Stegostoma tigrinum: one gene and its partner. Each later gene encodes a partner of the first gene's protein in a complex. Links are inferred from orthologs where the notes say so. Each region holds a gene or a part of one and is shown on either strand. Other genes may lie near its edges.

Region 1 (7,708 bases):
TTGGCAGCTATTTACAAACCTTCAATGAAAGATGTTATTGCGTTGCCTATCATGTTTTGTCTTTCTTTAAAAAAAAGTTTTCCATTGTCTTTTGAAAGCTTTATGCCAATTCAAAGAATGCATCAGTGCCCAAGTATGAAGACTAAAGAAATAATGTTGGCTATTTACCTAAACATGTCAGCACTTGTGCGTTTCCCACAAGCATAATAGTATAATGGTGTGAAGAGTGTTTTTGTTTTCCTCTTTACATCAGGGAAAGAATGATGACCAATGCCCATACCTAAAATAATGATATTTTAGGGTAAAAAAAAAAACCCTGAAATAACTGAGTTAACACAGTGTGGATCTGGAGGAACACAGCAGGCCTGGCAACATCAGAGGAGTAGGAAAGTTGACATTTCGGGTCAGGATCCTTCTTCAGGAATGGGCACTTTCCTGCTCTTCTGATGCTGCCTGGCCTGCTGTGTTCCTCCAGCTCCACACTGTTATCTTTGACCATCTGTGGATGTTGGAAATCAGAAACAAAAACAGAAATTGATGAAAACGCTCAGCAGATCTGGCAGAATTTATGGAGAGAAATCAGATTAATCAGTTTTGAGTCCAGTGAACATTCTGCGGAACTGATGGTAGCTAGGAAAAGGTTGGGTGGAGAGGAGACCACATCGTAAGCAGCAAGTACAGTAGACAAAATTCAGTGAGGTGCTGGTATATCACTGCTTCACTTCAAGGGTTTGGGGCTTTGGATGGTGAGGAGGGAGTAAGTAAAATGGGTAGGCGCTTGACAATTTGCAATGAATGGAAAGGTGCCATGGCGGTGTAGAGGGAAGGAGGAATGGACTGGGGTGTCCCGGAGGGAATGGGCCTTATGGAAGGCTGTCAAGGGAGAGGAGGGGAAATATGTGTCCTCTACATTGGAGAAACGAAGCTCAGTCTGGGTGACCATTTTGCAGAACACCTACATTCTGTCAGCAAAACGACTCTGAGCTTCCAAATGCCTGTCATTTTAACACACCACCATGTTCCCTGGCCAACATGTCTGACTCGGGCTCGCTGCAGTGCTCCAGCGAAAGTCAGTGCAAGTAGAAGGGCAGCACCTCAGTTTCCCTTTTGGAACTCTGCCACCTTCTGGACTTAATGTGGAGTTCAACAATTTTGGTGTTTCTGCATCTTTTTCCATGTCCTTACCCCAACACCCACACACCAAGGCTTGTCGTTACATGGGCTGCTGCCACACACAACCTGTTATCAGCCATTATAGCCCCCATTAGCAGCTATTCATTCCTTGGGCTGACCTTTATCCACTCCATTGTCTGTCCAACTGTTTTTCTGTCCCTTTGGGTTCAATCTCCGATGAAAGTATTTACTTCCAGCATTTGAGTCCGTGTTACGATGTGTTTCCAGTCCTGTTGTATGAATTCATCACATGACATTAGCTATTACCCTGTGCCCATATATTTGCACCAAAGTTAATTTTTTGTCTGACCTTTGTCTATGCAGTACCAATAGTCGTAGCTATGATGCCAGCTTGCATTTGTGAGTTGATAGTACTCGACATTATTGCTTCACCATCTGCTGGGTTATCCAACCACTTAGCTGACAAGTAACAAAACCAAAGTTAACCTAATTAAACTTTCAGCAAAAACTTCAGACAACAGTCTAATTTCACCTCTTTCTCAAATGCCCAATTTGATGGATGCAACCTCAGAGTCCTGGTTTCAAGTACCATCTTTCGGTCTAAAACCATACTATTCTGTCCCTGAAACATTGCCTGTCTCCATTCTTCTTCACCCCCTTTACCAGTGATGTTCTCTTGTTTCAGATGAACTCCTCATCTGTCCAATCTCTACTCAACCAAAGACTTGCCGTCCATTTATTCCATCAAAAATATCCTCAATAACTTACAATCCTATTTTGGCAATAATGCGAAGGTGCCCTGTGGAAGATAGCAATGGACAAGTCAGGTAGATACAAAAGCTGTGACAGCAATTTAACCTGTAGAACTGCAAGGTGATCTGTTGAGGAGGTCAAACAAGGTAACAGTATGCATACCTGATGAACGAATGAGAAATAGTAGAGTGGAAATAGTCATAGAGACGGACAGCATTGAAATAGCCTTCGGTCTAACATGTGCATGCCGACTAGATATCCTAAATAAATCTAGTTCTGTCTGCCAGCATGTCGCTGATATCACTCTAAACCCTACCTATTCGTATAGCCATCCAGATGCCTTTTAAATGTAAGAACCGAAATAACTGTGGATGCTGTAAATCAGGAACAAAAACAAAGATGCTGGAAAAGCTCAGCAGGTCTGGCAGTATCAGTGAAGGAGGAAACAGAGTTAACGTTTCGGGTCTGGTGACCCATCCTCAGAACTGTTCTGAGGAAGGGTCACTGGACCCGAAATGTTAACTCTTTTCTCCTTCACACATGCTGCCAGACCTGCTGAGCTTTTCCAGAAACTTTGTTTTTGAGCCTTTTAAATGTAATTCTACCAGCCTTCACGTCCTCAGGCAGCTCATTCCATCACGGTCTGTGTTAAAAAGTTACCCCATGTCCCTTTTAAATCTTTTCCCCCTCATCTTAAACCTCGCCTTCTAGTTTTAGACAGCCACACCTCAGGGAAAAGACCATGTCTGTTTACCCTCTTCATGCTCCCCATGATTTTATAAACCTCTATAAGGTCACGGCTCAGCCTCTGACGCTCCAGGGAATATAACCCCAGTCTATTCAGCCTCTCCCTCCAGCTCAAATCCTCCAACCCCGGCAACATTCTTGTAAATATTTTCTGAAACCTTTCAAGTTTCACAACATCCTTCCTGTAGGAGGGGGACCAGAATTGCACACAATATTCCAATAGCGGCTGAAACAATGTCCTGTACAGCCGCATGTCACCTCCCAACTCCTGTACTCAATGCACTGACCACTAAAGGCAAGCAGACAAAATGTCTTTTTCACTATCCTATCTACCTGTGATTCTGCTTTCAAGGAATTATGAACCCACGCTCCGAAGTTTCTTCGGAGGAACTTAAGAAACCTTGCAATGAATATTCACAGAGCTGTCAAGGTGAAAAAAATGCTTTCCTGTAGTATTCAATGTATGGACTATAATAATGGGAACGTTATGCTGGAACCATACATTAGTCCATAATTTGAGTACTGAATGCAGTTTTGATTACTTCATTATAGAAAGAATCCAGTAATTGGAACTGTGTTGTGTGTAACACACCCTCCAGTCCTGGTTTCTGAAGAAGGGTCTTTGACCTGAAACATCAAACTTTCCTGCTCCTCTGATGCTGCTTGGCCTGCTGTGTTCATCCAGCTCTACACTTTGTTATCTCAGATTCTCCAGCATCTGCAGTTCCTACTGTCTCTTTCCAGTCCTGGTTATTTTGTTTATTTATTGTCACATGTATTCTGTTACAAAATACAGTGAAAACTGTAGTATTGCGTTGCTGCTCTCTGGCGCCATCTTAAAACACAGAAAAAAAACAAAACATAGAATATAAAGGCAGAAAAATAAAGTTCAACTTGACAGTCCTTGTAAAGAATTCCGTCATGGGCCTGGAGAGACAAGCTGTTGCTGCATTGCCAGATCAAGAGCCACCATTCTGCGGCGCCATCTTGCTTCTACCGATACTGCAGCCACCATAAGTCTTTGCTGGGCCTCCCCAATGCAGCTGCCACCGATGACGCCAGGGCCTCCATCAGCCCAAACTTTTCTTTGCTGCCACCGCCAAGAGCCCAGCCTGGGTCCACCTGACTGACGCAGCAGCTACAGATGTTGCCAGGTCTCGTACTGGGACCAAATGGGTTAAACAGGAAAATTGCGATAACAAGTGGTTGGAATTTTTGGGAAGGGATCAGTGGGAAAAAGGCACATGATTGAGTCAGAGAATAGGTACACTGCAGTGAGGCTAACAGATATACTTGCCGGAACATGAGTCACCACTCTGTGGCTGAGAATGGCAGTGTATTCAGTGTAAATCACTGTCCAGTCCTGACGGTGGTGGTGCATTAGGCATAACTTGTCTACTCCTGAGAGTCAGGCTGAGTTAGTGTAAAACACGTCGTGTCCTCAGGGTGGTAATATATTGGGCATAAGTCAATCTTCAGTCCTGGGGGGGGGTGTAATGCATTCACGAGTCCTGACGGTGGCAGTGTACTCTGTAATTCACCCTCGAGCCCTGATGGGGCAGTGTATTCTGTGTAATTCATCCTCCGTTCCTGATGGTGGCAGTGTACTCAGTGTAATTCACCCTCTATTCCTGACGGTGGCAGTGTACTCAGTGTAATTCACCCTTCAGGCCTGACGGTGGCGGTGTACTCAGTGTAATTCACCCTCCATTCCTGATGGTGGCAGTGTACTCAGTGTAAGTCACCCTCCAACCCTGACGGTGGCAATGTCCTCAGTGTAATTCACCCGTCAGGCCTGCCGGTGGCAGTGTACTCAGTGTAATTCACCCTCCATTCCTGATGGTGGCAGTGTACTCAGTGTAAGTCACCCTCCAACCCTGACGGTGGCAATGTCCTCAGTGTAATTCACCGGTCAGGCCTGCCGGTGGCAGTGTACTCAGTGTAATTCACCCTCCATTCCTGATGGTGGCAGTGTACTCAGTGTAATTCACCCTCCAACCCTGACGGTGGCAATGTCCTCAGTGTAATTCACCGGTCAGGGCTGCCGGTGGCAGTCTTGCCCAGGCGGCGCCCCCTACTGGTTGGAGGTCCATCCTGCGCCCTCCTGCCGGCCGCGGCCTGAAGAAGCGGTTATACCCCCCAGCCCGGGCGCTGCTTGCTCGCCAGCTCCGACATGGCGATGCACAACAAGGCGCAGACCCCACAAATTCCGGACACCCGGCGGGAGTTGGCTGAGCTGGTCAAGAGGAAGCAGGAGCTGGCGGTATGTGAGCCTCGGATGGATGGGGGTGGGGAAAGCAGCGGGTTCGGCGGGAACCGGAGCCAGTGCTCGAGGCCGGGGAGGCTCAGGCAGGAAAAGCCGGGGAGAGCCTGGGCCGCAGCGGGTCGGGGAGGCGGTTGAGGACGATGTCAGGGCCATGTGGTTGGTGGGGGGGGTTGGCCCCAGGTCTGGTACTTAGGAGATAGGGAGAGTTATCCAGTGACCCTCCACTTGTGTGTGGTGGTGGGGGGGGGGGAGGAAAGGGTGATGTTGGAGCTGGTGTCCCTGCCCTGGGGCATCAACAGCGGGCACCCTGGGTGTGGGCTTGTGTCATATCGGACAGACCTGCAGGAGTGGTGTGCATGTATTTGTTGCTCATGTCCCTCTTGTCACACGCCGCACAGTGAGACATTATTCTCGCTTACACTGTTGTTACGGTCAGTGTAGAATGTGTGGGGTGTCCCAGCCTTGTCAACACAGAGAACCACCGCTTTCTCCGTTCAAGGCTACATTGAGCTTTATTTTTTTTTCCCCCAGGCTTTGTTGGGCAGAGTGGGAATTTCAGTTTCCTCCCCCAGCGACAGATCTAGTAGGGTGGAGAGCTGAACTGCTGGGATTGCAAACTCTGAAACAGCGATCCGGTGTGACACAAATATATGCAAGTGTCGGTTTATCTGCAGCTGAGTGAGGGACATTGACAAAGATTTTTACTTGCAACAACTTTTATTTTCCTGTGCAGGATTCTCAGTGATGGGTTTGTGTGGTCCCTGTTTATGTTTTTGTGTGTTTGCTGTGACTGCCATAATTGGTGAAGTATGCAAGGTGGAAAATATGGGTATGCAGCTTGTAATAGTGCCACATTCAGAGATCAAGGTAAAGCCGTAGATATTTGGTATGAATCGTTATTAATAGATGTGAAAAGAGAGAAATCAGTGTGAGACGATTTGGGCAATTTGAGGCTCCTGTTGCACTTGTCGAATGTGGCATCTGAGTATATGTTCATTGACCTTGTTTACTCATGGGATGTTGAGCTTCCTTTGGCACCTCATTCAGGACCACCAGTTTGGTTCATTGCATCGATCTCTACCTCTACTTACCTTTTGAACCTTGTCTGGGGGCAGGGATGGGGTGCCTCCTGGCCTCTGGTGATACAGACCACCTTTCCACTGCCTTCACCAGAATGTCCTGTGAGGCATCTGAAAGTCACAAGCTTTCTTTCTCCTCTCTTATGCCATTACGCTTCACGAGGTCAGAAGCTCTTTGCCTATGACTCTTAGCATCTTTTCCAATCCCAGTACACAAAAGTGCAGTACAAGCTTTGTATGTGCTCGCCACTTGTGCTTTTGACTCTGCTAATGCATTCAACTAGTGCACGAAGTGATTAGCAATGATTGGTTATACACAGAAATAAATCCAAATGAACAGGCAGCACAAAGTTTAAATCAAAGCAAAATACTGTAGATTCTGAAAATCTGAAATAACCACTGAAAATGCTGGAGAAAGTCAACAGGTCTGGCTGCATCTGTGGACAGAGAAGCAGAGTTAAAGTTATGAGTTTGGGGTGACATGTTTATTCTAAAGAGGCCTATTGTATTCAAGATGTTTACTCTGTTCTCTGTGTAGACCTGTTGAGTTTTTCCAGCATTTTCTTTGTAACTCAAAAGGTTGTAATTACATTACAAATAACACATACTGGCTAATGGTACATCACAATTCCTGTGTCTGATTTTCAAAACTAACCAGTTTAGCTCCAATTGTTGTGAATCCCAACAAAAAGCATTCATTCTCTTTCTTTGTCCAACTGTTTTTCATAATTCTTTGAAATAAACATTACAACAAATCTTCATAGCAGGTCATTTTTCTTCCCCAGCAGTTTGATAAATATTTTTGTAACTTTTATTTCCACAGGAGACTTTGGCAAACCTGGAACGTCAGATCTATGCTTTTGAAGGAAGCTATTTGGAAGATACACAAATGTATGGGAATATCATTCGTGGATGGGATCGTTACTTGACCAATCAGAAGTACGTGTATTGACTTTGTGTTAATAGAGCTGTCAAAGTGACTCAACCGAAACAAATTTGGCAAATTTTCGAGTCCATTCCTGTATAATTCACAGGCAATATTATTTCACTTTTTAAAGTCTGCTTTTTGAAATGTTGTTAATTTACTGCTGGAATGGACATTTTGCTTATCATACTTTTCAAACAAATGGATGAAAAATTTTGCGTTGTGTGAATTTAAATAGTTTTGATTTTACTTTCTGAGGCCAACTGTTGTACATTGAACTTTCAGAATTCTCAAAAATAAATGCAGACAGTTCTGTACATTAAAAAAAAGTAATGAATACACCTAAATAGGGTTTCTAGTAACCTGTTCCTAAACATACACTGAAGTACATAGCTGAGTTGTGGTGGTCTCTGGATGAGTCTCTGATTCCTATCATGTTAACTCACCTGAAGATGTGTTATTACTTGGGACCCCTACAGTTGGCGTTGTCAACTCTGAGTGAAGGCCAGGGAGTGGTACGCCAGGACTTTTGCTGAACACCGTGTGCTGACTGTTCCTGGAACGTACATCTGTGTAGAGTTATAAAGTCATACAACATGAAAACAGTCCATGCCAACCATGTTCGTAAACTAAACTACTCCCACTTGCCTGCGTTTAGCCCTTCTTCTTTCATATTCTTTCATATTCATGTACTTAGCCAAATGTCTTGTATCCACCACTTCCTCTGGCAGTTCCTTCCACACATAAACCATAAAAAAAGGATCAGTTGAAATCCCCACAAGTTAACAATTTACTGACATTAAC
Region 2 (6,879 bases), on another chromosome or scaffold:
AAAAGTAGAAAAATTGTTTCTTTCTTAGAGTTGCTATATAAGTACTTTAATATGAATAAGTTCAGTGGAATTTTTTTTCATTGTAGTTGTGGTGATTAACCAAAGGCGGCTTAGAGGAAATGCAAGAATTTACAAATTATTTTCTTTACATGTGGAATCTTTTAATTTTATTTAAATTGGGAACACACTGCTTGTTTTCTCCACCATTCTTTATTTTGTATCAAAATTGAGTAATAAAATTAAAATGCATTACAGGTTGGGAGGATGTTTTCAAGATCAGAAAAAGGAGTGAACTTAATCTAAATGTAGTTATTTAACACCAAAGATACAATATATAAAACAGGTTTTCCACAGTCAGTTAATTTAGATAGTATTGCCAAACACAAATGCAAGTTTTTTTGTTAGGTATTGTTTTAGCAAAACATATTATGTTTTAAAAATATTGTATGGGATGTGGACAACATAGAAGTGGGAATTTGAAATACAAACAGATCAGCTATGACCTTATTGAATGGGAATGCAAGTTCAAGGGGCCAAATGGCCTGCTGCAGCACCTATTTTGTTTGTTTATATATTGAACCATCCTTCATAACTTGGAGTAATTCTGAACATAGGATGTAGGGAAGATCATTGGTGTGGCTAAGGACTGCTCTGAGAAATGCCTCAGTAAAAATAGGGATCATTGGAGAAATTACTCTGACTACAAGTTGACAAATCCTTAGGACCCAATGACCTTCGCCCTAATGTTGAGGTGGATGGCTAGAGATAGTGGAAGCATTGGGAATCATCTCTCAAATTCTACTAATTATATAATGATGCCTGCCTGCCTCTATAACAAATGTAACCCCATTGTTTAAGGAAAGTAGGGAAGAGATGACACAGAACTAGATGTTAGTTTGACATAAGTAATTGGGAAAATAAAGGATGTGATTACTGAATATTTAGAAAATCATCATCTGATTAGACAATGTGTAGCTATGAATGAAAGATCATGTTTGACAAATCTGATAAAGAGTATTGTTCATATTATTAGCAAAGTTGATTAACAGGAACCAGTGGGTGTGGCTTTCGTTTGAACTTTATTAAAAAAATTCCTGAAAACTCAACACAGGTCAGTAATCAAAATTTAAAGGTGCATGATATTGGAGGGAATATATTAGGATGGACTGAAGATCAGTCAACAGGCAGATGAAGTAACTCCCCTGGGGTCCAGTATCCAGTCACCAAGTCACCTTTATTTCTATATGGAGAACCCTTGACACTGATCCAGCTCCCTCAAACAGTTCTCAATTAACAGGACACTCCTGTTTATAATCTATGTACTAGGGCTCCTTGGCTGGACCAGAGTAACAGCCCCAGTCAGGGAACTAAGGTCCACCTGGCTGACCTTGTTACAATCTCTGCTATAATCTGAGGACATGGGCCCATTCTTATACATTTTAGCACCAGGTCAGGTTCCTCCAACTCTGCCTCTGGTATGGACAATATGTAATACACAGGTAGCTCACCTCTTACACGTGGACAATTTCATAAGAAATGCATTTTCTTCACCTAGCAAAGGGATTGAGGCAGTGATATACACTATGTCCATCTCAGATTCTTGGGTATTTTCACCTCTTGATGGCAAGCAAGACCCCTGGGGTTTCAGAACAGTCAGTAAGGCTGTCGAGAAGCTGGGCACATTTTGCTCCCACACTGTTAGCTTTCATATGATCCACATGGTCATTCAAGACCATCACACACTAGTCCATTCTGCAATCACCAACATCACCACATGCATCCCAAACCATGGCACCTTCCCAAGTAACTGCAGAAAGTGCAACATCTGCCTCTTCACCTACTCTTTGCTCATTATCCAAGGGCCTAAACAGTCTTCCCAGGTGAAGCAGCATTTCACCTGTACCTCCTCCAATCTTGTGCATTGTATTCTCTGCACCCAGCATAGTCCCTTCTACATTAGGGAAACCAAGCACAAACTGGGTGACTACTCTGCAGAACACCTTGGGTTTCTGCACAAGCATGACCCCAAACTTCCCATAGCCAGCCATTTTAACACCACATCCTGCTCACATGCCTGCATGTCAGTCCTCAGCATGTTGCAGTATTCTAGTGAATCACAACGTACACTGGAGGAACAACATCTCATCCTATCTTCAGAATAGGTATCTTACAGCCTTCTGGACTTTACACTGGGTTCATCACCTTCAAACTATGAACCATTTCTTCCATTTTAGCATGTTGCATTCTGCTACCATGTCCTCTGTCCGGTAATCTCACGTTAGTGGGACTGTCAGCCCTTTCAAGTCCGGCAGGAGACACACCATTGTTCTGCCATTCTAACCACTTAACCTAAACTACCAAGATTTTTTTTCCTCTACTAACATTCCAAATCCACGACCCCCACAACCCACCTTAGCCTAAACTATGGCTTAAATGCTGTCCCCTACGCTCTCCAGCTCTGAAGAAGACATTTAGACTCAAAACGTTAGCCTGACCCAAATACTACGTTACCTATCCCATTCTATGATTGTGCGCAGCGTTAATTCAACTATTAAAAAAATGAGAAAGAGCTAGGTCTTTCAAAAGCTGAGCTGTATGCATCTGTGGTGTCAGCACCCGTTTTGTCACCCTGCTATCAAAATTTGATTTACCGCTAAACGCTCCAATATCTACTTTTCTCACACCGCCCAGGCCATAGTGAATCGTAATCCATTCATCCTACTAAGATTTTTTTTAACGCAAGTTATCAGGCTTATCAACTTATTGGCCAATAGGAATCACGTGATAGATCATTTGGCCATACTCTCATTGGTTAATTGTAATCATATAGCACGATCTCCCGCGTTTTTTTAATAATTGGTTGAGACTTTTTGCACTTTTGGTGCTATTCTATGCTCAGTCGGAGCAGGAGTGTTTCGTGCAGTAGTGGACTTCGACTGAAGCTGCGAGGCTGATCAAACTTGTTGCATTATGCATTTCCCTTCATTCGTGTAACCACAATTTATTTCCATTACGAGGAATTTTCCAACCAGCCAAGCAAAACAACCAACTGCTGTCCTCAACAATCGTTGGTTTGCAACTCCAGTAATTTGACACATTCGGAACATTTCAAGTACCCTAGTTTATTTATAGACAATCTTATGGCAATTTTAATTCAAAATCGAAGCGATAAAAACACGGCCGAGGCGGGAAGAATTAAGTATAAACACTTTGAAGGCAAAAGATAACATGTACAATCCGTAGTGGTACTTTGAGGTGATAATTTTCTTCCACTTTTGCGAATGACCTCTGGTTGTCTTAAGTGTGGCAATCCCCCAACCTTGGGTTTCAAAAAGTAACTTTTTTTTCAGGCCTCGGTAAACTGTTCCTGGGGATTTTTAAATGGGAGCGTTTGGTTCTGCAATAGCCTCACACTTTACTGCTAACATGAAGTAGGAACAGCGGGAGAGATGGATAACGCTCGATCTTTCGCTTAGCGAGGGGGGAGAACAGAAAAATAGCGTTTGTGCAGGGGGAGGGAAGCACCGCCCGCCCGTTATTCGAAGCCTAGCAAAAATGCAGTCAGATTCAAGGGGGAGCGGCCAGTCGCTGATGTGGAGGAGCGGGGACGTTGTGTTTGTGTGAGAGAGTAGGGGCAGCACCCACCCCAGGCTGAATCTCCCCATTCCCGCACCCCTCCTCTCGCGCGCGCGCCCCCCCCCCCCCCCCCGGTTGCTGCCCCTGCACGGGGTTTCCGCGATCGCTCGGGTCATGCGCAGGGGCGTGTCCGGCCTCTGATTGAAAAGAGTTTTTTTTCTCTTCCACCAAACCCCCCCAACTCCCCTCCCCCCACACCAGTAACACCACCACCCACAACCCCCTCCCCCCCGTCCCCAACAACAGCGGCAAAAGGTTCGCGTTTCTACCGCTATCTTACGTACTGTTCCTCGCACTCAAATCTCCATTAAAAGTCCGCCTTTCTCGCCCTGACACATTTGCGGGCGCAATATGAAGCGCTCCGTACCAAGAAGACGACATATTAAGCGTTGAACCGTGGGCACGGAACGGCATTTACCAGGCGCTTCGGTGCTATTTGTAATTATTTGTGTCCCGGAAAGTGATTTCGCTTCCCCCCCCCTTCTCTGCCTCTCCCTGCCCGACTTTGCATTCAAGGTAAATGGCGTTTGTTTTTACGCGTTTCTGGATATTCGGTTATTTGCGGGTTGGAAAGTGAAGCCGTGAGCTTTTGGGTCGCGCCGCTGCCATCGGCCGCGAGTGAAACGCACTCAGATAAGCCGTTAGAGGTCTGTAATTAATATGCTTTGGCGGGGGGGGAATGGAGAAGGTCGCTTGTTGTGGAAATAGTCGCCATCTTGTTCTACAGTAAATTCTCTCCGTCCAGCCGAACTGGGGTGGAGCCAAGCACGGTAAGTCCCGCCTTCTCCAATTGGTCAGTCGAGGGTAAGCTGTTTCTTGATTGGCGCTGAGTGAAGATGAACCCTGGCGTCTATTGGCTGGAGCGCCTATCAATTTTGCACGCGCCTATTAGTGGGTCGGTTGAGTCGTTGCTTGGTGTAGGCTTTGGGGGAGGGGGCGAGTGTATTGATGGTGGGTCGGTTGATGAAAAGAGATTCTAGAAAATTCTTCGTGCTGTTTGGGAGGGAGGTGGCGAGGGGTTCACGCCGGGAGTGGAGGGGTGGTTTGCTGAAACATGGTTTCAGGTGGGTGTTATTGTTTAGGGGTTGAAGTATACATTTGTTGGGGGGGGGTGGGGAGGGGAGAGAGTTGGAAAGGTATGGGAATATGAGCCTTATGGCGGCTGGACTAGGTGTCCATTGCTGCCAAGAGGGACTTTCAAATGGGCCCGGGAAACTAGTTTGCTGCGGTGACGTCAGCCACCTTTTGAACCCCCTCCCCGTCTCGACGTCATCGAACAGCTGAGCTGGCACGAGTGTCCAGTTGAGTTGGTGTCAGAGCCCGACACAGTGCAATGGGGGAAACAGACAAAGGACTGAGTTGGGGTCCTCCGGCCACGTCAACAATGTCCAACCCCTAGTAATGTGACAGCGGGGTCTAACTTGTGGAATAAAGTACACCATTAGTACCTACTATACATGAACCGGACACGTTCAGCGGTAACCCGATTTAAATCGAGCGCCCGTTTTCGCGCAGTGTCTTCTGCTCACGAAGGACTTGTGATGTCTTGAACGCTCGAGTTTTGTTTTTGGGCCTTCTTTTCATTTGTATTTCGTTTCATTTCGTTTGTAGTGAGGTAAACAAAATGAACAGGCAATTCAGAACATGTACAGCCCGTACTTTAAATAAAATAATCCAGATTTATTGATAAATAGCGACGTTAATGGGATCCTGGACCTAAGTAAATTTGAATGAAGTGGCTAAGTTCGTAAAATCTCTGTACAGATGTCATAAGCAGTTCGATTTACTATTTTACTGACGATTTGTATTGATGGGCAAAGCAACATGTTGTAGAAGATATTTCAAAATAATATAAACCAATTGAAACTCCTTTTTTCTGACTTTTGCTCATGATTTTTAAAAAAAATCTATGCGAGTAACTGAATTATGTTTCAAAGAATCTTTTGCTTGAAAGGAGTGCCTTAGCTATTGAATGCGAAGAAAACAAGATGTAGAGCTGGATGAACACAGTAGGCCAAGCAGCGTGAGATGAGCAGGAAGGCTGACGTTTTGGGCCTAGACCCTTCCTCAGAAACCTTCTGCTCCTCTCGCTGCTTGGCCTGCTGTGTTCATCCACCTCTACATCTTGTTATCTCAGAATCTCCAGCATCTGCAGTTCCTGTTATCTATTGAATGCTAATATGTCTTTTTAATCATTTCTAAAGTACTTAACTGAATTGTGCAAACAACTTGTGTATATGGCTTTTAAACTTTTTTTGTAGTGAGAGGTTCTAGAAATAATATCCTGTGCAGAAATCACTGGGAAGTATTCCTTTATTTTAAAAGTAATATAAAGTATTTACTTATCTCCATTTCTGCTCTGCATTGGTGGTGGTAGTAGTGTCTTTAGTTGTGAGCTAGAAGGCCTCTTGCATGATTAAAATCTGAACAGATTGATTAGAAAAGTCTGTAAAACACTGTAACTTGCAAAAAGCCATCTGCAACAATGTATATCATGTGATCCATTTGCCCAACAATGTTTCCTACATCTGTGAATTACCTCTAGTTATTTATATTAAGAAGGAAATTGTGAAAATAGAGATCTCTACGTTTGCAAGTCAATTAATTTATAGTGTTAATGAAATAACTGGATTTTAATATGCCAATACAAGTACAGTGTAGTTGGTGCAACAACAAAAACATTCCCCTCTTTGATTTCCTGCTCGAGGTTGTGTTTGGTTCCGATACTTGGATGTAGAGTATGAAGAGAATTTCTGTTTGCCTTTCAGTCTGATTTTTTGTGATGTTTTCCTTCAGCTGTTTTATTTTTTGATAGAGAAGTAGAAAGGTTTAGTCAACATTTTATGACCTGTTTGTAACTGCTTGTGACTACATGTATGCTATAAGTAGAGAAAAATCAGAAAAATCAAAGGCATCATTACTACCCCGTTCTGAATGCTGAAGTTAAAACTTTAATAGCCATGTGCTGTGCTATGGATTGTAAGTACTGTTGCAATTTTTAACATGTTGGAAAATTTTCTTCTTCGCACTAAATGGAAGTGACTTTGTTAGAGATGCTGATTAGACATTTTAAGTTGAACAACTGTGATTTTTACATATAAGATAGATGCATGATATGCGTAGGTGTGTATAGTTTATCAAACAGGCCTGGGTTTGCAGATTAAAGGATAAGTCCTGTTGAGTTTTTGTGATGGTGGTGAGAAGTTTTCATACTCGGGATTATAGTGATCGTTCTGTCTGTTG

The links.
Region 2: meaf6 (region 1) and bromodomain and PHD finger-containing protein 3-like share a complex: the UniProt entries of both Homo sapiens proteins name them as parts of the MOZ/MORF complex. The link is inferred for Stegostoma tigrinum from reciprocal best matches to the Homo sapiens genes MEAF6 and BRPF3.

The regions. Positions count from the first base shown.
Region 1 is NC_081377.1:12,577,764-12,585,471, reverse strand, and holds the start of meaf6 (chromatin modification-related protein MEAF6), read left to right. Parts: upstream 1-4,706; 5' UTR 4,707-4,807; coding exon 4,808-4,897; intron 4,898-6,802; coding exon 6,803-6,918; intron 6,919-7,708.
Region 2 is NC_081374.1:26,928,537-26,935,415, reverse strand, and holds the start of bromodomain and PHD finger-containing protein 3-like, read left to right. Parts: upstream 1-3,869; 5' UTR 3,870-4,152; intron 4,153-4,300; exon of another isoform or gene 4,301-4,406; intron 4,407-4,632; exon of another isoform or gene 4,633-4,700; intron 4,701-6,879. UniProt on the Homo sapiens protein: Scaffold subunit of various histone acetyltransferase (HAT) complexes, such as the MOZ/MORF and HBO1 complexes, which have a histone H3 acetyltransferase activity.